Linked DNA regions of Diceros bicornis minor. The protein of the gene in region 2 purifies or fractionates together with the protein of the main gene of each other region. This does not show direct contact. Links are inferred from orthologs where the notes say so. Each region holds a gene or a part of one and is shown on either strand. Other genes may lie near its edges.

Evidence for each region. The genes of interacting proteins can lie anywhere in the genome.
Region 1: the proteins of CASP8 (region 2) and tumor necrosis factor receptor superfamily member 10A-like purify together in Homo sapiens (affinity purification with western blotting; 13 studies listed by BioGRID and IntAct, counting the BioPlex papers as one, with this or other methods). This does not show direct contact. The link is inferred for Diceros bicornis minor from reciprocal best matches to the Homo sapiens genes CASP8 and TNFRSF10A.

Annotation. Positions count from the first base shown.
Region 1 is NC_080750.1:70,844,110-70,855,026, reverse strand, and holds the start of tumor necrosis factor receptor superfamily member 10A-like, read right to left. Parts: upstream 4,153-10,917; 5' UTR 4,076-4,152; coding exon 3,875-4,075; intron 1-3,874. UniProt on the Homo sapiens protein: Receptor for the cytotoxic ligand TNFSF10/TRAIL. The adapter molecule FADD recruits caspase-8 to the activated receptor.
Region 2 is NC_080749.1:79,143,222-79,153,678, forward strand, and holds the start of CASP8 (caspase-8), read left to right. Parts: upstream 1-5,543; 5' UTR 5,544-5,653; intron 5,654-7,838; exon of another isoform or gene 7,839-7,900; intron 7,901-10,457. UniProt on the Homo sapiens protein: Thiol protease that plays a key role in programmed cell death by acting as a molecular switch for apoptosis, necroptosis and pyroptosis, and is required to prevent tissue damage during embryonic development and adulthood.

The sequences.
Region 1 (10,917 bases), on a different chromosome or scaffold from region 2:
CAGGCTGCAGCTCAGGGAGGGGGCACTGGAAGCTCTGGGCCTCTGCTGAGGAGGCACGGAGAGGAGTCCAAGAGGCCAAATGCAGCGCAGAGAACTGGGGAAGGAGAAGCTGCACAGAGAGGGCTCTGGAGACGTGCAGAGGGGCCCGTCCAGGGTCTGGGTGAGAGCTGATCTGTGCACACACGAGAGGGACCCACCCAGGCTGAGAAGAGACCACTGGAAATCAGCAGGCTGGACAAGGACCGAGGCTCACCAGGGCTGGGAAATGTCCATGTTCCCATCCACCAGAGCAGACAGACCGCAGAAGACGGTGTTGGCTAGTTACCAGAAGTTTACTGTTAACCAACCCTTAAGAGTGAACTAAACTCCAATGACCTAATAACGAAATTCTTCCACTTTAATACTGAAATTGTCCCTGTGTCTTACTTGTAAAAGTAGTCATTCCTATTTCCCCCCTCCCTCTCAGTCCCTCTCTACAGACTGGAGGTGAATCCCAGCCGAGACACTTGCCCTCTCTGAGCTGCAGTTTCTCATCTGCAAGCTGTAATTATCTCACCTCCCGCAAAGGTCCGAGGTGGTCGTCTAAAGTGTTAGCACCCTGGGGTGTTAGGCACAAGGCAGATCCTCTCTCCCTTCCCCATTTCTCACATACAACTGAACAGGAATGGCGGGAGATGCTGTTCCCAGGCCAAAATAGAGCTGATATTATAAAGGAGATCAGGCCTAAAATGCTGGAGACCCATTCCTACTGAGTCTCATTTTCTCCATATGAAACACAGGTGAAAACCATACCAAACTCCCTGTGTTGTTAGGAAAATTACACTGAATAACGGATGCTCAGTGCAGGACACAAGCTGCCCAACAGCTCATGCTCAGTGCACGTTACTGCCCCCAGGCCCCCTCCCTCACCTGGAAGGCAGAGCCCTGCTCCTCTTCCATCCCTGGCTAAGGGAAAGTGGTCCAAGAACCGGGACTGAGGCCTTCTCAGCAGGCGCTGGGTGACCAGCCACCTGCAGCCACAGGGACTGATGCGTTTCCTGCTCACTCCTCAGACTGCGCCTGTGCGGGGCCCTCAGCACAGGGACAACTGAGTCATTTGAGGATGCCAGGCCTGTGGCCCTGCAATGTCATTATGGTCATCACTTGACATTTGGGCTCCTCTGCGTTCCTCCACGACCTCCTCCAGCATTGCTCTCCTCCCTGTTCTTCAGAAGCTCCTGCCTCCACCACAGGGAGCCGAGACCAAGGTGCCAACACGAGCAGGTGGCAGCCACTGCTGGGCTGGACACCATGTGCCCTGTGGCCCTCCCAGCACCACAGTGGTGGACACCACCCGAGGATGGGATCTGTCCTCCCACACAGCCTCCCACGGCGCCCCCACGGCTCTCAGGGGTTCACAAAGGGCCCTGCAGACTTCTCCCCACTTCACACGGGAGGAAGCGGGGGCCACACCAGGGGCCCAAAGCTGGAAAGGAGTCGAGCAGGCCCGCTGTCTCCAGCTCCCACAGCAGGACTCACACAGCCTGACTCAGCCTCTGAGCCTCTGAGCCTCACAGCTCCTACTTTGATAGAGAGGGACCTGAAATGGGGCCATACCAGCACTGCAGACAAGGACCTGGGGCCAGGAGAGGGCTCAGCACTGGGCCCCATCTGATGTCACCCTTCCAACAGCCCGAGCACATGGGCCCCATCTCATTACAGGCAGGGCTGCGGTGGTAACTGGCCCCAGGTGACACAGCTCAAGGGCAGAGCTGGGATTCCAGTCCCCCTGCCGCCCTCCCCTGCAGCCTAATCCGGGTCTCCTGGTCACCTGCTCCCAGTCTCAGAAACCTCATGGATCGTTGAAATCTCTAAGAGCACCAACGAAGCAGAACCACAACTCTGTGGTGCACCATTCTTTATCTCTTGACTAGCAAAGAGTTAAAGTTCAGTGTAGTGAGGGTGTGAGGAGAGAGGAGTACCTGTGGACTCAGTGTGAGTGTAAAATGGTACAGCCTTCTTCTGGGGGACAGCTGGTCATTATCTACACAAAACTACAAAATTATCTGACCCGCTGACACAGCAATTCCACTTCTAGGGAGCCACCCCACAGCACACATGGAATATGGCACATACAAGGGCATATACTCAGTGCTGTGGAGTTAGCAAAAACAAAAACCGGATATAATCTAAGAAGATATTCGTGAGACAAGAGTAAAATAAACTGGTTCACCCATATGTGCTTTACCCATACAATAAAATACCATGCTGTTGTTAAAAAGAATAAGATAACTCTACATGTACTGACATAAAACAAATAATGGAATTTGTCACTAGTTTCACGATATAACAAAAGGGATCATGACTGAAAATGCATAAAATAAAGGCAAGAGTTGAGAAGGGATGAGAAGAGGAGTTTGGGATGTCAGAGGCCTAGGTCTCACGTTCCCCAAACCATAAAATTCAGATTTTTTACCTGTCTACACAGGTATCCTCACATTCACCCAGAGACACACCGACCTGATTCAAGTGAGCCATTCAGAAAGTAGCCTTAAACATGGGTCTCACATAATGCAAACTAAAATGTTAAAAATAAATTCTGTGATTATTTTGTGATTATAAATGTTATTGCTTCTCCGAATTTTTTTTTTTTTTTTTTTTGCTGAGGAAGACCAGCTCTGAGCTAACATCTATTGCTAATCCTCCTCGTTTTTTTTCTCCTCAAAGCCCCAGTAGACAGTCGTATGCCATAGTTGCACATCCTTCTAGTTGCCGGATGTGGGACGCGGCCCCAGCATGGCCGGAGAAGCAGTGCATCAGTGCGCGCCCAGCATCCAAACCCAGGCCGCCAGCAATGGAGCACACACTCAACCACTAAGCCATGGGGCTGGCCCTCCGAATTTTAAATTAATTTGTTACATGAAAATATTTTAAACTTCATGATATCTGCAATGTTGATTTGGCATTTAATTTTTGTTTTTTAAACACCTAAGGAACCTGAAAAGTGGGATGGGCCAGAGTTTCATCAACCCTACGCCGAAGTACACAGTTTTCCACATGGAGCTTTTTCAGGAAGTATGCAGTTTTCCACATGGAGTTTTTTGAGGATGGCAGTACCAGTTTGTGCTTGGAAAGCTTCACACCCCTTCTGAAGAATGGGGCACGGTCTGGATCCCTGACTAAGCGATGAATGGCTGTTTACACAGAGACTTTTCTGTGCGCAGGAACGTGACTAGAAGAAAGCTAGGAAACTGCTCCCCGCGCACACACGGGGGTCAGAACCCAAACGTGGGGAAGGCAGCAGAGTGGTCTCTTCGCGGGCTGCGGTTTAACCGACTTCGGATAAGTACGTTTTAGAATTTAAACGTAAGTGTAAAAAGGAAAAACAGCCCCCCCCCCCCCCCCCCCCCCCCGCCCCAGCGGACAGGGGTTCGCCAGTTCGGATCCTGGGCGCGGACTTACGCACCGCTCATCAAGCCTGAGGCGGCGTCCCATATAGAAGAGCTACAGCTCTAGAACTGTGATACACAACTATGTACTGGGGCTTCCGCGAGAAACAAGAAAAAAAAAAGAGGCAGATTGGCAACAGATATTAGCACAGGGCCAATCTTCCTCAAAAAAAAAAAAAAACAGTAAAAAGAATGAAAGAAAAGATAGCCTGCGCTTGCCCGGGAGTTTCCAACTATTCTGGAATTTACCCCTAGGCCAGCCAAGGACGGGGCGGGGGAGGGGCAGCCGGCGCCAGCTCTTCTCCTCTCCCCCCAGGTAGGTGCCGCTCTTCTCCGGACTCTGCCCACTGTTCGATCTGCCTGGACATGCCTCGGGCAGGCACCCGGCCGTGTCCCCCCTCTCCCCCTGCTCCTTCCCGGCCACCAGGCGCGCCTTCCGGACTCACCGGCAGCAGGACACCGAAGACGACGAAGACAAGGGTCCTGGGGCCCCGGAGCCGAGGCCTGGCTCCTCGCGCCGGCCTGGGACCTGGGGCGCGCCCCGCCCGGGCGCCCGAGGCGGCCGGTGCGCTCGGCCCGCGCTGCCCGGTGAGGTCAGGGAGCGCTCCTAGTTCCCGCCGCCGCTGGCTGAAACCTGGCAGAGGCATCAGGAATTACTCGGTGTGTTTCCCGGGGCGCTGGGACGTCCTGCAGGACGCGGGGTGTTGAGGATATTTGCTTTTTGGGACTGTGGCAGCCTGTTTTCTTATCTTTGACATTGCGTCAGCATGGTGTCAGCGGGAGGGGCGAATCGGAGCCAATAAGCAAACCTTCCCACAGGTTGGCAAGACTCGTGACTTCAGTGACGTGTAGATACATCCAGGCCCCGCCTGAGTGAGAGCCACACGCCCTCTGGGAGCACCGTTCGAAAGTGAGGCGGGATGTGGAAAGAAGGGTATTGTGGCAGCGGCTACCCCGGGGCGTGCAGTTCGTTTCTGGGTCCTGTCCACGCTAGGACAGGCACAGGAGGCGGGGGTGGAGGGTGGGGGGGACCTGGGGGGTAGGGGGGCCTCATCTCCCTGACGTTGTGCCCTCTGCTGTGACCGGTGTAGTGAGGTTGAGAGTCCGCATCCAGGACCTGTCCTGATCCTGCCCTCTTTCTAGAGCCAAAGCATCTCATGTTCGTAAACCCTGTACTATCCAGTCCTGACTAGGGCCCTCTGCCCGCTTTTAACTTCTGCTCCCTGCTCCCGCCAAGGGTCTCTTTGACCTAGTGCACGGATGTCATTCATCCAGGGTCACATTGCAGCTCTGTCTCAGCCCAACGTTTCTCTGTCAGGGGCTTGGTCTTAGTACCTCCGTAGCCAGGTGCCTGGCACAGAGCAGACGCTCAATGAATGGACGGGTTGCCGGAAGGAAGGACACAGAGGCCATGATCAGCGGGTCTGAATTCTGGTCACCAATAGACTTCCACACCTCCCCCATCAACACCTTGAACATTCTGGTAATTCCAGGTCCGTCATTTGTCTCTTGTCTGAGGTCTTCATGTTATCTCATCTCAACCTGCCTGCTGCTGCTGTCAGGCAAGCCGGAGGAACCCACTTCAGCCTCTCTTCTGGATCTTCCTTCCCTGTTAGATGCTTTAAAACCCTTAGGAAACAGAACCTCAGAGACTACTGGACGCATGAAACCAGAGGGGCCTAGGTAGGGTCCTCCCCACGTGGGCCAGGCCCTTCCAGCTGTCCTACACCCCCAGCTCTGTGCTAGGCCTGTTTTATCTTCCCAGCTCTCTGAATATCTGTCAATGATAATAGGGCCCTGATTTCACAATCCAGGGTCACCATTCACATTGGGCAATGCTGTGCTTCCTGTCATCAGGCTCAGAGACATGTGTCCAAGTCACCCTCGACTGCCCCATCTCCCCAGTTTGTCAGGCCCATGTAGTTACCAAAGCCTGCCCATCCCACTCCTCACAGTTCCCGCATCTTCCTCCTCTCTCCATCTAGTCCTCCAGTGTCTGGGTAGGGCCTCTGATGTCTGTGGGTTGTTGCCACAGACTCCATAGTGCTGTTCCCAAGCCCGTGTCCCTCCCTCTTCCTCATGCCAAGGAGGATGGTGGGACACAGCTGGCTCCAGTGAAAGGAATTTGTCAGTTGGCACCGGGAGGAAAAAGCCAGCTCTGGCACTGGGTGAGTCGGTGCTGCTGGGCTCTTCATCCTACAGGGTGTGTGAGCATTTGATGACACAACGCAAGTACAAATACTTGGTTCAAAAAGCTCCATTGAAAGTCTGTTACAGTACATTTCAGATTTGATGATACAAAATAAAAAGAATGATAAAAGAACTCTTATTAGGAAACCCTTCTCCACTGAAAGGAAAAATCTACTAGTGGGTGAGCAGCAGAGCAGGGTTGCTGGTTGGCTGTGGTCCTCAGCCGGTGGCACCAAAACACACACAAAGGGGGGTCTGGTGTCCTGGGTTCAACATGTGGAGGAGAGGGACAGCTGTCAAATGGCAGACCTTTTACAGTGATTCAGCAGGGAGAGCGTGAGGTGCACTCACAAGGATAGAGAAGAAAGAGGAAACCTGAGACGTAACAGACAAGTGATGAGAGATGAATATGAGCAGTCAAGGAAAAAGGGCAAAGGTGACTCCAGACTCAGGAGGCGGGTGGGTGAGAATACTTATCACTGTTGTAGTCATCGATTCAGAAAATGTGCTTGTCCAATCTCAAGATGCTATAAGTTGTCAGTAAAACTGAAAAACGTGGAAAGCATGTAATGAAATTCCACATAGTGGGCATTTCACACCCAGGCAGCACAGCATGTGCACCCCCTGTCTTCTAGGCTACTTGGGACTAATTTTTGGCCTCTCTGATCCTCAGTTTTGCTGTTATAAATGGGCGTGGTCATATCTTTCAGACTGGCTTTCTGTTTTGGACTTAAGAGTAGGAGTAGCTCCTGGCATAAATGGAACACTGGGCTATTGAAGGTTCCAGCTGTCTTCTCTGGATGCTGTCTCCACATTCCAGAGGGAGTCTTGATAGCGGTTCCATAGCCGCACCTCTTTCTTCAGACTGGTTTGTTGTAGGGACACCAAGAGGGCCACAGAGGCAGTCTACACAGGTCCAAAGCCCTGTTGGTGTGAAGGGTGGAATGTGAGACATCTTGTCAACTGTCTACAGCAGTAGGGAGACGGTGCTTGCTCCCCTCCTTCCTTCCTTCCTTCTTTCCTTCCTTTTTTCTTTTCTTGTTTCCTCCCTTCCTCCCTCCCTTCCTTCCTGTCTTTCTTTTTAAACAGTGCATTTTTTTTGGACATACCAAAAGTTATATAAGATCATATAGTGGACTTTAATGTCCTCATAATCTTGCCTAAGAAATAAAATAATTGCAAATGCAGTCAAAGGCCCCCCAAAAACTTGTCAATCACGTTTCCCTCCCTGTAGCAAGTTCTTTTCCAGTGATTGCATGTCTAGTTTCAGGAGAACCACAGGAAAGTTTCCTTGATCAAAGGTGGCACCAGATGGAAAGAGTTTAAAACTAGGAAGTACGTTACACATTTCTAACACCTTGTTATTGGTTATATTATGACAGAGTAAAGTCTTGGCTTCCTGGTCTGACATTTAAGACCTCGCTGTGGCCTGACCTCTATTGGCCTCTCCATCCATTTCTTTCACTCTTCTTGACCTCCAGTCATGCTGGTAGCTATTGTTTCCAGCTCATCCTATGGACATCTCCTTGTTATCACATTCCTTTTGTCCCAGGACTCACTTTTTTTTTTTTTTATTTTGCATTCATTATCTTCCAGAAGAAATAGCACAAGACTAGTAATGCACTGGCAAGCAATTGTCAGGCTCTTGACAATAACGAAAAGAAACAAACAGTATGAATGTCTGAAGGCAGGGATCCATCCAAGCTTAAAGTACTAAAAATAAGCCAGTGACGACAAATGAGTAATTGCACCACATTTCCTTATACTCATGGCATTTGATACATGGGGAGTAAAAGCAGCAGCAGCCACGATTCAAGCTACCTTGAAGGTCAGGTTGGGTCTCTGCTACAGTCTAACAATTCCAAACACCAGGTAATAGGAATATTTCCCTCCCCCTCCCCCTTTTTAAAAAAAAAAAAACTATTTCTTTTTATTGAGATATAATTGACATATAACATTATACTAGTTTCAGGTGTACCGCATAATGATTCAATGTTGTATATATTGCAAAATGGTCACCACAATAAGTCTATTTAACATCTGTCACCACACATAGTTACAAATTGTTTTTTTCTTGTGATGAGAACTTTTAAGATCTATTCTCTTAGCAACTTTCAGATATGCCATACAGTATTGTTAACTATAGTCACCATGCTGTACATTACATCTCCAGCACTTATTTATTTTATAACCTGGAGGTTTATACCTTGCCCTTGAAGGGAGTGTCCTATTTTATGTTCTCTACCATGCTTATTGCAATTACCTTAGGGTTCATTCTTTATTCCATCTCATCTAAAAGATGTCTTCTTTCTTGGAAATACAGTAGCTGTTATCTCTACCACTCACTTGACACAAGCATGTCTTACCTTCTATTTTCGGGGGTTTTTTTTGCATACTGCATATGTTGTGACTCGACAATTCTGTTAACATAATAATTTTCTTATCCCCTCTGTTTTTTTTTTTAACTTCAAATGTCTCTTTGTTTTCCACATTGTGTCTTACACACATCATCTAACACAAAGAGTTTGCTCAGTTATTCTAGATCTTGATCTTAGGGAGACATAGACTTGTCCCAATACCTTTTTTCCTTACTGGGAATATTTAAGCTTTCCAAATGACTGTTGTTTCCAATTATTGAAGTCCTTGATGAAGATGGCCAGTGTGGGCAGTGGTGCAAGTGGGAGGCAGGGGCTAGCTCATTCAAGGACAAGCCAGAATAGGCAGCTTCCTACTTTTATCTTCCCTCCTCTGGTTCCTCTTTTAGGCTATTTATATTTGAATATTAGCCATGCAGAAAGTGGGTAGAACCCATCACTTATTGTCACAGTTCCCTAACTTTTCTCCTGTTTGAGAAAGTCTTTGATCATTTTATGACTAATTTTGGAGCTACCTCTTACTTGGTAACCTGGTGGCCCAAAGGAGGGCTAAAGAGGGCTACCTAGAGCCTTTCCCTCTTGGCCATACTGACCTGTGTCAGGTGGAAATCCTTTTCACCCTCCCTCTTGTACGTGAAAATGATGATAATGGTGCTGCCACAGACAGGAATTGAGGCTTCTGGAAAATCCAGAGTTGGCTTTGTTATTGCCACCTTCCTGATCAGTTACCTTACATGGAGGGCCACAGCCTCAGGACCTGCTGTCAGGGCAGGTAGATGGAGCAGGACAGCTCTGTCCTCACAGTCAAAGGGAGTTCTCAGTGTTCACAGTGACAGTGGGTAGCATCCAGGACTCTTGGCGGTGCTGTTTATGTTTCTTAAACATATTCACAATGTCAGTGCCTAAAGCTATGCAGGCAAACAGCGCCTGCCATAGACTTAAGGAATCCAGTTTTACTGGATGCCTGATATTCACCTGACGCTGATTTAGACACTTTACATTCATTGTCTTATTCAATTCTCATAGCAGTTCTGTGGGGAGGTGTTGGCAGCCCATTACTGCAGATGAGGAAAGCTGAGGCCCTGAAAGATGATGCAGCTTGCTCAGGTGAGGTCCCTACATTTAAATAATGGAACTGCAGTTTAAACCTCTCTTGTCTGATCCCAAATCCTTCTTCTCCTCTCCACTGTGGTGATGTGCTGAAAAGTTTGCTCAGAGGATGTGGCCCAGGCTGTATATGTTTACAGAAGACACTGTCCCCTCTGTGTGGGAGGTGCCCCATCTTGTTTCATTGCCTTAGTCACCAAGAGAACCTTGCCCAGTGCCTGGCTCAAAGCAGATGCTTGGTAAATGTTGGCTGCACAGTGAATGAATAAAAGAAGGGCCACGTGACAGGAGTTCATCCCTTTTGTCTATTTTCTACTTCTTGGGGACTCCTACCAGAATCCCTCTTCCACTCTAGGAGGATCACAAACATCATCGTAAATTCAGATTTTTTTTTTTTTGTGAGGAAGATCAGCCCTGAACTAACATCCATGCTAATCCTCCTCTTTTTGCTGAGGAAGACCGGCTCTGAGCTAACATCTATTGCCAATCCTCCTCCTTTTTTTTTTTTTTCCCCAAAGCCCCAGTAGATAGTTGTATGTCATAGTTGCACATTTAAATTCAGATTGATGAGAGCAAAGGCCATTTGTGCAATCGTACCAATGAGGAGCAGTTTCATTACTATCAAACAGATAGGAAGAATTGAGATCTTTTCAATATTTTTCTTATCAAAAAAGATATTTCAACTCAAGTATTCTATTATAATTCACTTGAGATTTGTGATTTTCTTCAGATAAATTATTATTATTTCTTATCAAGTCTATTTCTTTGTATTTTCTGTATTTTGTAACCCTTGTGAATTGGATTCGCCTATAAATACGGTTTTTAACTGGTTCTTTTTGCTAAATTTTTTTAACATTCATCCGGATATACATTTATTTTATTTACTGTAGTTTAAACCTAAGGGTTTTTAAAGTAGGCAATCAAGTCTAAAATAGTGATTACTTTCACTGCTCCCTTCCAAGAGTCTTGCCTTTTGTTTTCGGTTCTTGTTGCATAGGCTAGAACTTTCAGTACAATGTTCAATAGTGGTTAGAGGAGGTAAGCATTTTGGTCTTGATTTGATTTTATTGGGAAGGCCTAAGGCCTTTCACCATTAGTAGTGACATTGGCTCTTGTTTTCCTATAGAAATTATTATTATTATGTATCCTCCTATTCTGATCTGTTTTAAGAATGAGAATAGGTGTTTAAATTTTCCAAAGCCTTTTCAGCCTCCATTGAGACTATATGATTTTTATTTAGACTACTGGTATTGTACATTATTATTAATCAGAACACATTCACATTCTTGGAATAAGCTCTTACTTTAGATTTTCCAAAGTACCCTCATATATAGTCTTCTATTGAGTTTCAAAAAGTCTGTGAGGAAGTGACTGTCTCTTGTAGGGATGGGTGAGATTGACTAGAAGGGTAGAAGGGGACTTTCTGGGGTGCTGGAAATTTTCTGTCTTGATTGGGTTACACACGAGTATACAGTTGTCAAAGTTGAAATGGAATACTCAAGAAGTGGAGTTTGGAGTGACGTCAGCATCATGGTGGAGTGAGCTTCCCCCATTGAACTCTCCCCCTCTAAGACGCAACAAAAAGGACATCATATTCCAACAGAAGGTATTCACACAACACAGGGGATGTGTGAGGCACCCAGGCAGCCATACATACAAGGACTGATGTGCTGGAATCCCCGGAGGAGGTGGAAGGAGCTGCTTTGGCTTGGCTTGTGCTCAGACTCCAGCTGACTTGGCACCGGCAACTTCAGCCCACCGCACTCCAATTCCAGCTTCTTTGGCCCAGCAGCACTCCAGCTCCTGCTTCTTCCGCC
Region 2 (10,457 bases):
GGTTCATAAGCACTGGTGTGAAAAGAGCTACGCCATAGAGTTAGATGAGAAAACTGTAGAACGCACACACAAATGTTTATACAAATGTACAAATCATTTCTGCAAAAATTAAAGTTAATGCAAACATATGTTTGCTTTTGTTTTCATATAGACTATGCCAAGAAAGATAAATAAGAAACTGCATTAACCCTCCTAATATAGCTGGTGAGTTATCATTTTGAATGTTGAGAGCTAGATTCTGTAGGAATGGGGTATGAACTGTGGGCCTGGAAGGACACTTCCGGGGGAAGAAACAGTGTCTTGTGGGGGAAGAGGCCAAATATACAATTTGCCTACTTGGCAGTCTCACGTGGGCTGACCTGTGCCTGCACACCAGCTGTCCCATTGAGAATGTGTGTATTGTTCTTATTTTTACTAATAGTTTTTTTTTTTTTCGTGAGGAAGATCGGCCCTGAGCTAACATCTGCCAATCCTCCTCTTTTTGCTGAGGAAGACTGGCCCTGGGCTAACATCCATGCCCATCTTCCTCCACTTTACATGGGATGCCGCCACAGCATGGCTTGCCAAGTGGTGCGTCGGTGCACGCCCGGGATCCAAACTGGCGAACCCGGGCCGCCTCAGCAGAGCGCGCGCACTTAACCGCTTGCGCCACCGGGCCGGCCCCTTTTAGTAATAGTTTTGAGAAAAAAATCATTGCCCAATTTTTTAAATAAATATGTTTGAATTGTTCCTACCATAGACGTTCTTAAAATCCTTTTTGCATTGAGAAAACATAAGAATGAATTTCCTTTGAAGAAAATGAGGAGTGACTCCTTTTAAAATGGAGAAAATATGTATTTCAGAGAATGATCCTTCCATCTTTTGATTTTTTTAAGAAGCCGTCACTCGTCCTGTCTGTAGATACACAGCTGTGTAGACCCAGCTCAGTTACATCACCTTTCTGAGCTTTGGTTTCCTAAATGTCTTCATAACACTTGCCCTGCCTGGTAGACCAAAAAATGTGGTTATGAGTGAGGACCAAATGAGCTGAAGTAGGAAAATCGCTCTAAAACTGCCTCATGCTTAACAAATATATTGTTATCATATCATTTAAAGTGGCTCTTGGATGGTAGTGACAGTTGCACAGCAATGTGAATGTACTTAATGCCACTGAACTGTACACTTAAAAATGGTTAGAATGGTAAATTTTATGCTACATATAATTTACCATAATAAAAAAATTTCTTTAAAATGACTCTTGAAACTTGCCCTTAGGGTTTGAGGTGACCCATTCCTTGGGTGTGGGCATATAGTCAAGCGAGAACATGGAGGACCCTTGCCTTGTCTTCACGCAGACCTTCAAGAAAATGTTGAAAAAGATTGGCAATGTGAATATTGGCACCACAGCCCAATAATTACCTCAGTTTCCTCCTTTCTAGATCAGTGGGATGGGCTCTTGCTGGCAGTAGTTTTTTTTTGGGAAAGTAGAGGAGCAGGTACTGGCAACCAGCAGGTGTAGAATATTCGTGTTGAGATCAGTGACTGTAAACCCATCTATCTGCCGGTGACTGTCTAATCATCTCAACACCGGAGCAAATCCCGGCTGTTAAAAACGTTTGGATAACTGGTTGAGTCCCTCCCTGCAAGGCCCAGGAGGGGATGGAATAGATTGATTGGAAGTCATCTCTTTTCCTTTTCCTCTCCACTCCCTGGAGGGAGTCTAGGGCCCAGCCAAGGCCAGTGCTAGAGTCAAAGAGGGGTCAGGAGGGACCTAATCGAATCCACACACCAGACCACCTGGACTGTGGGTCAGTTATACACAAATTAATAAGGAAGCAATGAAAGAAAGAGCATGCACTGTCAGGGGACTTTTGTTTCACTGTCGGTATTTATCCTTGACTAAGGTCCTGTGGTTCAAATCCAAGATAATAGGACGGGTGTGCTGCAGCCAGGTGAGAGGAGGTTCAATCCTTCTTGGCTTCCTTAGGGAGATAGACAGCTCCAAATGGAGACGAGATTCTTTGGAGCAGGCCTCCAGGTGGGAGTGGAGATCCAGGAGGGTGGAAACCACTGGGCAGTTAAGTCCCACCAGGCTGTCCTCATCCTGCGCTGGGTGGGCACTCCCCCAGGCCCTGCTGCTGCTGCAGCACCTCCAGGTCTCCCAGCTTCCCCGGGACCTACAGACCACCTATGTTATTCATTTTGATATAAAGACATATCTCAAGATGGCACCAAGACACTGGTAAGAGCAAGTGAATTAATAATGATCCTTGCGGATCATAATAGGAACTTAACCAACTTAAGGTTCCAATTCACTTGTTAATTATTCATCTTCCTTTTTAAAAAGAGCTAAGACCAGGAGAGCCAAGGATCAATCCCTTACAGATGACACAAGTGGAAGTCCTGAGACCCGCAACCCAACCTCAGCACCTCCAGGGGTTCATCCATTTCTGCCAGGCTGGGCCTGGGTGTGGACAGCAGATGAGCACAAACCCTCGAGTGAGACCTTCCTGGGTTCCTGCACTGGCCTGGCCACTTGTCAGCTGATTGACACGAACTTAGTTCCTTATCTGTACAATATGTCTCATAATCCAAGCAGTCTTACAGACGTCGTGAGCCAAAGTAACAGTGGTAGTGAGTATCTGTTGAGAACTGTCGAAGGCCCAGGCACTACGCTAAGTGCTCCATCTGTTTCATCTCCTCTAATTCTGCTTGGGTGGGAATTCCAAAGCTGGGACCTGAAGACTGGTGTTTTTTTTAAGCCTCCTCAGTTAATTCTCAGATCAGTCAAATCGAGAACCATGGTTGTGTATGAATACTTAGACAGTGACTAACTGGTCAGTGTCTTAGAGACAAACAGACCTCACTCTGTCACTCACTACCTGAACGCACTCAGCCAAGTCTTTCAACCTCTCCAAGCCTCGGTTTCCTCACCCACAAAATGGGAGCAAAAATAGCATCCACTTCTGAGAATTGTTCGGAAGGTGAAGTGAGCCAGTTTAGGCGGCTGTGTCTGGCACACAAAATGTTTGATAAATGTTAGCTAGTGCCCTTAGACCAGCTCCTTTTTCTTAGGTGACTGAGAACCCAAAGACTGTCTGAACTTTGTGCATAGGTCACTCCCTCTTAGTTTAAATTTATTGCTTTTCCATCTACGCGGTTCACTTCACATCCTAAGTGTTGAGGAAGGGGGGCTAGTGTGCTACAGTGGAAAAATCCATGTGTTTGGTCCAAGAGGACTGAGTTTGAGTCTATGTGTTTAAGCCTCAGTTTTCTCATCCATCACATGGGAGAACAACCCCCTGCATTGCTGTGAGAGTTAGAGATAACCCACGTAAAGGGTACAACATATAGGTACTTGTTACGAGAGGTTCGGGGATTCGATCGGAGACGTAAAAGACACTTTCCACTCCAAACAAATGGACTGAAGGTATATTTTATTATATAGAGGATAGTAAAGGCGATAGTCTGCAAACAGATCCAAATAGGTCAAATATTAAGAGGGAAAAAACATCAGCCCGAGTGGAAAGGGAAAACACCCACATTGGCTGAAGAGAAATGACACAAATCAACCAGAAAGAGAAACACCAGGTTGACCGAAAAGAGAACACATCAAATCACTTACTACACATCAAATCAATTACTTCATATCAAATCAATTACTTACAACATCCACGCACTGCTGGGAGAGCCCTGTCAATCAACGCAGCTGGGCAAGGATCACACGTCCTGGGCAAGGTGTCCCTTCCACAGGTGGAACTCTCACCGGGGCTCAGTTTCCAGCAGTTTTTATACCATCAGTAATTTTCAGAGTAAGCAATTACAGAGTTTGCAGAGCAAGCATTTAGTGTTCCCATGTACAAAATGGTTATCAGTGGCGTACGTGCACTGAGCCTCCTGGCTAACATCCCGGCCCAGTAGTTGTGTACGTGCATTGTTCTCTTTGGTTATCGTCTCAGCCCGGCACAGATGGCCAGTCCATCCCGTGCTACGACGCTCCAAGAGCCTTGAAATGTTACAACTTGCAACTCTCTCTGTGGGAGAAAGGCCAGTTCCCGGGAAAAGGCCAGTTCCCACCACACAGAAAGCAGCTTTTATATTTCTTTTTGTGCTGGTGGCTGTAGGTCAATGGAGCGGCCAAACATGGCTGTACTCATGTCAAGACAGTACTGTATTATTGTCAGTGTTTTGGTTACAAAATGTACAAGACAATGTAGTCCCATTTGCTTAGTTTTTCTTTTGTTTCCCTTGCCTGAGTAGACACGGTATTCAAAAAGATGCTGCTAAGACCGATGGCAAAGAAGGTACTGCCTATATTTTCTTCTAGGAGTTTTATGGTCTCAGGTCTTACATTCAAGGCTTTAATCCATTTTGAGTTAATTTTTGTGTGTGGTGTAAGATAATGGTCTACTTTCATTCTTTTGCACGTGGCTGAGGGGAAGGGAGTGGTGGGAGGGTAAAAGGAGTAAAGGGGCACGTATGCAGGGTGAGGGATAAAAACTAGACTATTGGTGGTGGACACAATGCAGTCTATACAGAAACTGAACTATAATAATGTACACCTGAAATTTACACGATGTTATGAGCCAATATGACCTCAATAAAATAATTTAAAAAAATGTACAAGATGTGAAAACAAAAGGGCAGAAAACCCTTGAAATAATTGAAACTGGAAACAGAAGCAGAGAGTGGGGAGGGGACGAAGGATGAAGAAAAACTGGTGAGGGCCCCTGGGCAGGTCTGGGGGGCAGATCTCCACATTACACCACCCCAGCCTCGGCCCTGGACAGGCACTGCTTACTACTGCTCTTGGGAGCTTGGCTAGGGATGCGAACACTGTTGCTACTCCTACTCAGGACTGGGCCAGACCCACTCCACCCTTTTTGTGCACAGTCTCCCCACATTTCAGCCAGAAGCCTGCTCTTACCCAAGGAGAGCTCAGACATAGGATCTCACGGCTGGTCCATGGTATCCGGGCAGAGATTTGGGCCACGGCACAGAGGGACAATTCCTCTCCCCAGCCTGTCACGGGAAAATGGCATTATACTTGCCATGGGCAGTCTCAAGCCTGTCTTTAAAAATTACAGGGGTTATTAATAGTAAATGTAGTCAGGACAAATGCTTTCCAATAAAGCATGTCCAGCTTCCTGGTTTTCAGTTTGCACGTTGACGAACTGTCTGTCATCTCCTCCTCTGAATGGTTGGAACTCAGCACCATAATAAGAAACATTTCTTGTTGAATGAGTCACTGATCTCCAGTTTTAGGAATCAGCTTTATTCTCTAGTTCTTTTTGTTGAGGAATTTTCTCTCTCTCTTGCCGAGACCAGATTTTGCCCTTCTGCTGGAGGGCAATGTTTTCGCAGGTTCCCCTTTGTCTCTTGTGATTTTTTTAAAGCCCCGCTGGATTTGCTAGTAAATTCTGAATGTGGAGAACAGAGAAACAGGAAATGAGTCCGCTGGGGGAGGAGAAGAGCCCGGAGGAGGGATCGAAAGTAAAGGAAATCTTCTTCCTGGAGGCGTTTCCGTCCCCGCTCCCCTCCTCCCTCCCTGTTTCACGGGCTTTTTCTGTGGCTGTGTGGACAAGCCTTAAGAATTTGTGTGTGAAACTAGGCCGGTCAGGGGTCTGGCATGGGGACCTGGTGACTGTGATGTTGCCGGGACAGAGTGGAGCAGGTGAGTGCCTCGTGCAGACACGGCTTCTGGGGACTGCGTTTCCCGACCGAGTGGAGACACCTCCGGGCCTGCCAGGGCGCAGACGTCCGAATGGCGTTTCTCTCTGAACCACAGCCACCGGCCTTGCTAACTCTGAGGAATCTCCAGCTCCTCTGCTGCACTTCTGTTCACAGTCTCCCCAGCTGCCTCAGTACAGACAGTGTCTCTCTCCTGCTGGATCCCACAAGACTTCATTAACCCGTTTATGTTTGTTTTCTTTTCCGTTGGGCCCTGGGACAGAGGGTTGAGTTAATCATTCTGTCAGACCCCATGGCCTGTCATCCTTGGTCTCCCAGCCTGCAACACTCCCCCCCCCACCCCGTTCTAAGCAATTTCTTTGATCGCCCTACCCCCACCACACTTCCGACACCACTCACTGGCTCCCCAATGACCACTCTCTGCGTCTTTTATAAGTATCCCTGAATTGATCTGTCTTTGCAAAATGTATCGTTGTTTTGTGTGTGTACACTATATCTAAACTCTGTGACCTGGAGCAAGTAAGTATTTCTTGATGTCTGTTTCCTCATCATTAAATGGAATTAATGCTACCTCCTGAGGTGGTTGTGAGGATTGGAGGAGATAATACGTGTTAACCACTTACAAGAGTGACTGGCACTACGAAGTACCCAGTAAGTGTTAGCAATTATTATTGCATATGAGTATTATTTGTAAAAAGTAAGCACTCTGCCCTCTAAATTCTATGTATTTTGCCAGGTCCCACTTCCTAACCACTACAAGGTATTACACGATGGACAGTCTCCCCAGTCCTATATGAGGACTATGTAAGAACTTGGCCACCAGTCCTTGGTCTGATCCAACTTGCAAATCTTTGTCAATCTGATAGGTATAAAGTGGGTATTTCCTGGCTTTATTTCGTGTTTCCCCAGTTACTGATGAGTTTGAGCATCCCTTGGTACACTTTGGCTATTTGAGCATCCCTATCAGGGAAGTCCACGTTGTATCCATTGTCCTTCTACTGGGTTTCTTTTCTTGTTGATTTGCAGGAAACCTTTGTACGTTCTGGATCTTGCTATTCCCATGGCAGGTCCTGGGAACATGGACATGAAAGATGCGGTCTCTGCCCTGTGAAGCTCACAGCCCAGGACAGGAACTAGTCACAAAAGAGTGGAACAAATGCTGGGGTGGATGCTCAGGAGGCATCAAGAAAGAGTCAGGGAACAGCTCCTGGGCTAGGATTTAGCCCCTGCAGGCTTTCATTCTTTTGCTGTGTTCTCACACAGGCTTTACGAGCAGACTCAAGTGGTAGTGAGGGGCGTCAATGTTACCATGGCACCCTTACCTTGCCCGCTAAGGTGAAGAGGCACTTGCAGACACCTCATTTCATCCTCTCAACTATAACATGGGTCTCGGCCCTCTGAAAGCTTATATTCCATCTGGGAAAAGAAAAAAGGCAGTTTCAAAAAACAGAGGTGTTTGATTTTCTTTTTTTTCTGCTTTTAATATCAGAAAACATTTCAACCAACTCACAGCAAAAAGGCAGGGCTAATGTGTGTTCGTGGTTATATCTCCAGGGCCCCTCTTTGGTAAGGTCTGCTGGGCCTTATGGGAGGAAGGCCTTTGATTCTAGAATTTTCTAGGCTGTTAAGGGTGGGATCTGGTGGCCTCAGGGCCATAGAGGTGATCCTTGTATTTGAGCGTAGCTGGGGAAACCGCGGGAGTTAGCTGTAGGAGTTAGCATACCCTCTGAGAGCCGTGGTGAGGGCCCCACAGTTCCCAGATCTCAAGATCTCTCAGAAGTGCTTAATCGATATTTATTGAATGAAAACATTGAAGTCTTAGTAATGAACCCAGAAAATCTGTAAATTCCTGACATATGAAAAGAGGGGGTTCTTAGTTAACATCCAGTCCAACTTTCCTATTTGGATTGTGGTGATGAGGCCCCAGAGGTGAAATGACCCGTCCACAGTCACACGGCCAGGCCAGGGCTCAGGTGGCCGGGCTCCCAACCCAGCGTGCTGTGGCCTGTTGCACCTGGTCTCTCTCTGGCAGCTCTGGAAGGAGGCGCTGCTCTGAGGCCAGCCTACCTCACTCGGCCTATTGACTCAGGAGTTTTTAAAACAGGAAGTAGAGCGAGCTGTGCTTTTGGTTCTTCATTTGTTTTTTACTCTTGTCTTGGATGCGCCAGCAGAAAGAGGCCTGCGAAGAAGCTGCTGCCGCTTCGAGGATCCCAGGATTTGCTTTCATAAGGTCAGTTGGGCCTTCGGGGAGGAAGGCCTTGGATTCTAGAGTTTTCTAGGCTGCTGAGGGTGGAATCTGGGTGATCCTTGCGTTTGAGTGTGGGTGGGGAAACCATGAGTGTTAGCACTTTCTCTGAGAGCCACGGCGAGCACCCCACAGTTTCCAGCTCTCAGGGCCCCTCCAGCTCAGGTTGATGAATTCCTGGAGGCTTTTCTGGAATGCTCCAAGTATAGCTATCCGTATAGAACCCTCATCCTTATGCTGGCCAAATTTGTCAAAGAATAGAAACCGAAATTTAAATTTCAACTGATTTTGTTGCTATGCTTACCCATCTGCCAACACATACCCACTGACAGACACACACACATGCACACAGTCCTAATAATTCAATTATTCATTTTTTAAAAGAAATTAAAAAGGTACAGAACAGTACAGAAAATAGTAGAATGGCAAGCACAGACTGACAAAATCAGAGACCTGTGCTTGTGAGGTACAAGTATGTAGAGGTGAAGTTATGAATATCATCCAGTTGGAAAATTACAGGTCAGCTGTAAGTTTTGTTGAGATTTGAACACCTTTACTAGGCTGTGAAAGCTCTGGCTGCAGGGCCCTGTGTTTGACCGTGTTTGTGTGCAGGGTGGACGGCTGCCAGGTTCTGGGGGAATCCCCAGTCTGGGGCGGGCATTCTGGATGGAGGGAGCGGCCACACTCTCACTTAGGGGTTTGAACTGAGAGTGGCTTTCAAACTTTGAATGAGACGCAGATTTTTGTTTCAGAAGATTAATGCAAGTTTTGGATTTATTTTCCCCAGCTTTGATGTAGTTATCCATGTCACTGAAGGAGCTAGAGTGCTGCTAGAATATGGCTAGAAGGATTGTTTGTGATTAGATGAAATTCATTTGCAATTAATTTATGGCATATAAGGTGATGGTAGCGTTGGGACTCTGGAATGAGATGCTTAGGTCTGAATCCAGGCTCTAGCACCTACTGGCTTGGTTTGTAAGGTTCTCACCCTCTCTCTGCTATAGTGGATTTGTTAAGAATTTGTGTTTTGGGGGGTTTTTTTGGTCTTTTAAAATTTTTTATAATTTTAATCTTTAAAAATATTATGATTATATGCCTTTCTTCCTTCACTAGCTTCCAACTGCAATTAGAACAAAATCTGAATCTTGGTAGGGCCCATCATTTCAGCCCCCGAGTGAGATGCTTAAATCTGAGCCTGACTGCACTCTTATTAGCTTATTTCTAAACTGACTTTTCACAATATTAAAATGAGAACGATAATAGCAGTTTCTTCAGAGGCTTGTAGTAAAATGAGACAAGAAAAAATATTTTTATGTTTATAGGGCTATATGTTATAAACATTTATATCAAAATACTTCCTGACAAATTTATTATATAAAGTATTAAATATACTTATGCATTGTATAATACAAATATATTTATATATTTTATGTATATTTACATTTAACAGATTTATTTTTAACAGAAGTTATATAATTGAATTTATTATTTAACAGATTTATTATTTAACAGATATTATAAAATTGAAAGTAAAAGAAAACTTCCTGCAGGCGTTTCCATCCCCACTCTCTTCCGCCTTGTATGCATTATGTACCAACATTCTAATTTATAAATTTTATATATGTATATACATACACTAAAATTTAAATTTGTGAATTAAATTGGGGAAAACCCACCAAATGTGACCAAAGAATTACTTCTAAATGGCGAGTTTCTAAGAGATTTTTATTTTTCTTTTTACACTTTTCTGCACTTTCTCAAAGGAACAAGTGTTACTTTTACTATTTTAGGATCAGAAAAATACAACAGTGAATGTTCTTTTAAATATGTTACTTTAACAAAGTTTCCCGAGGTGAGCTCGAGCAGTGAACCCGGGTCCAGTAAAACAAGAACCACCCATGCTCCCTGCACTCGCAGAGCAGATGCCTGGAGGGGAGGCGCCTTGTAAATGGTGTAAAATGCTGGGAAGGTGACTGCTGCTCTCGCACCGTGACTAGAGAGGTGTGACCTAATCAAACAAACCAACAGAGACTGACTATCCTACCACACAATGTGTCCTGGAAAACCTGGGCCAGAAAAGAAGCCTCCCCCGCATTTTCCCTTCTCAGTGTCCATTATGGTATGATGCAAAAATTACTTAGAAACACTGTCATGTTAATGCAAAGGTAATGAAATGAGTGGATGAGGTGGCTGTAGAGGCCGGAGCTGAGCACCAACCCCGTCACATCCAAATTCATGTCATCCTGCCCTTGGATCGTAGTATTTTTTAAAAAATTATATACTGTCAGAAAATACTATTGAAAATATAATAAAAGCCTTAAAAAAGTTTATTCGTTTTGACTCAGTAATACTACTAGGAAATTATTCTAGGAAAATCATCAGAGGTGTACATGGAGATTTGCATTTTAAGATCATCCTAAATGTAATCAGGGACTGGTTACATAAATTATGGCCCATTCATATGATTAGATGCTTTACAGATTTTAAAATCCATGCTATAGAAAAAAAAAGTGAAGACATCAAGATGTACTTACAATATTAC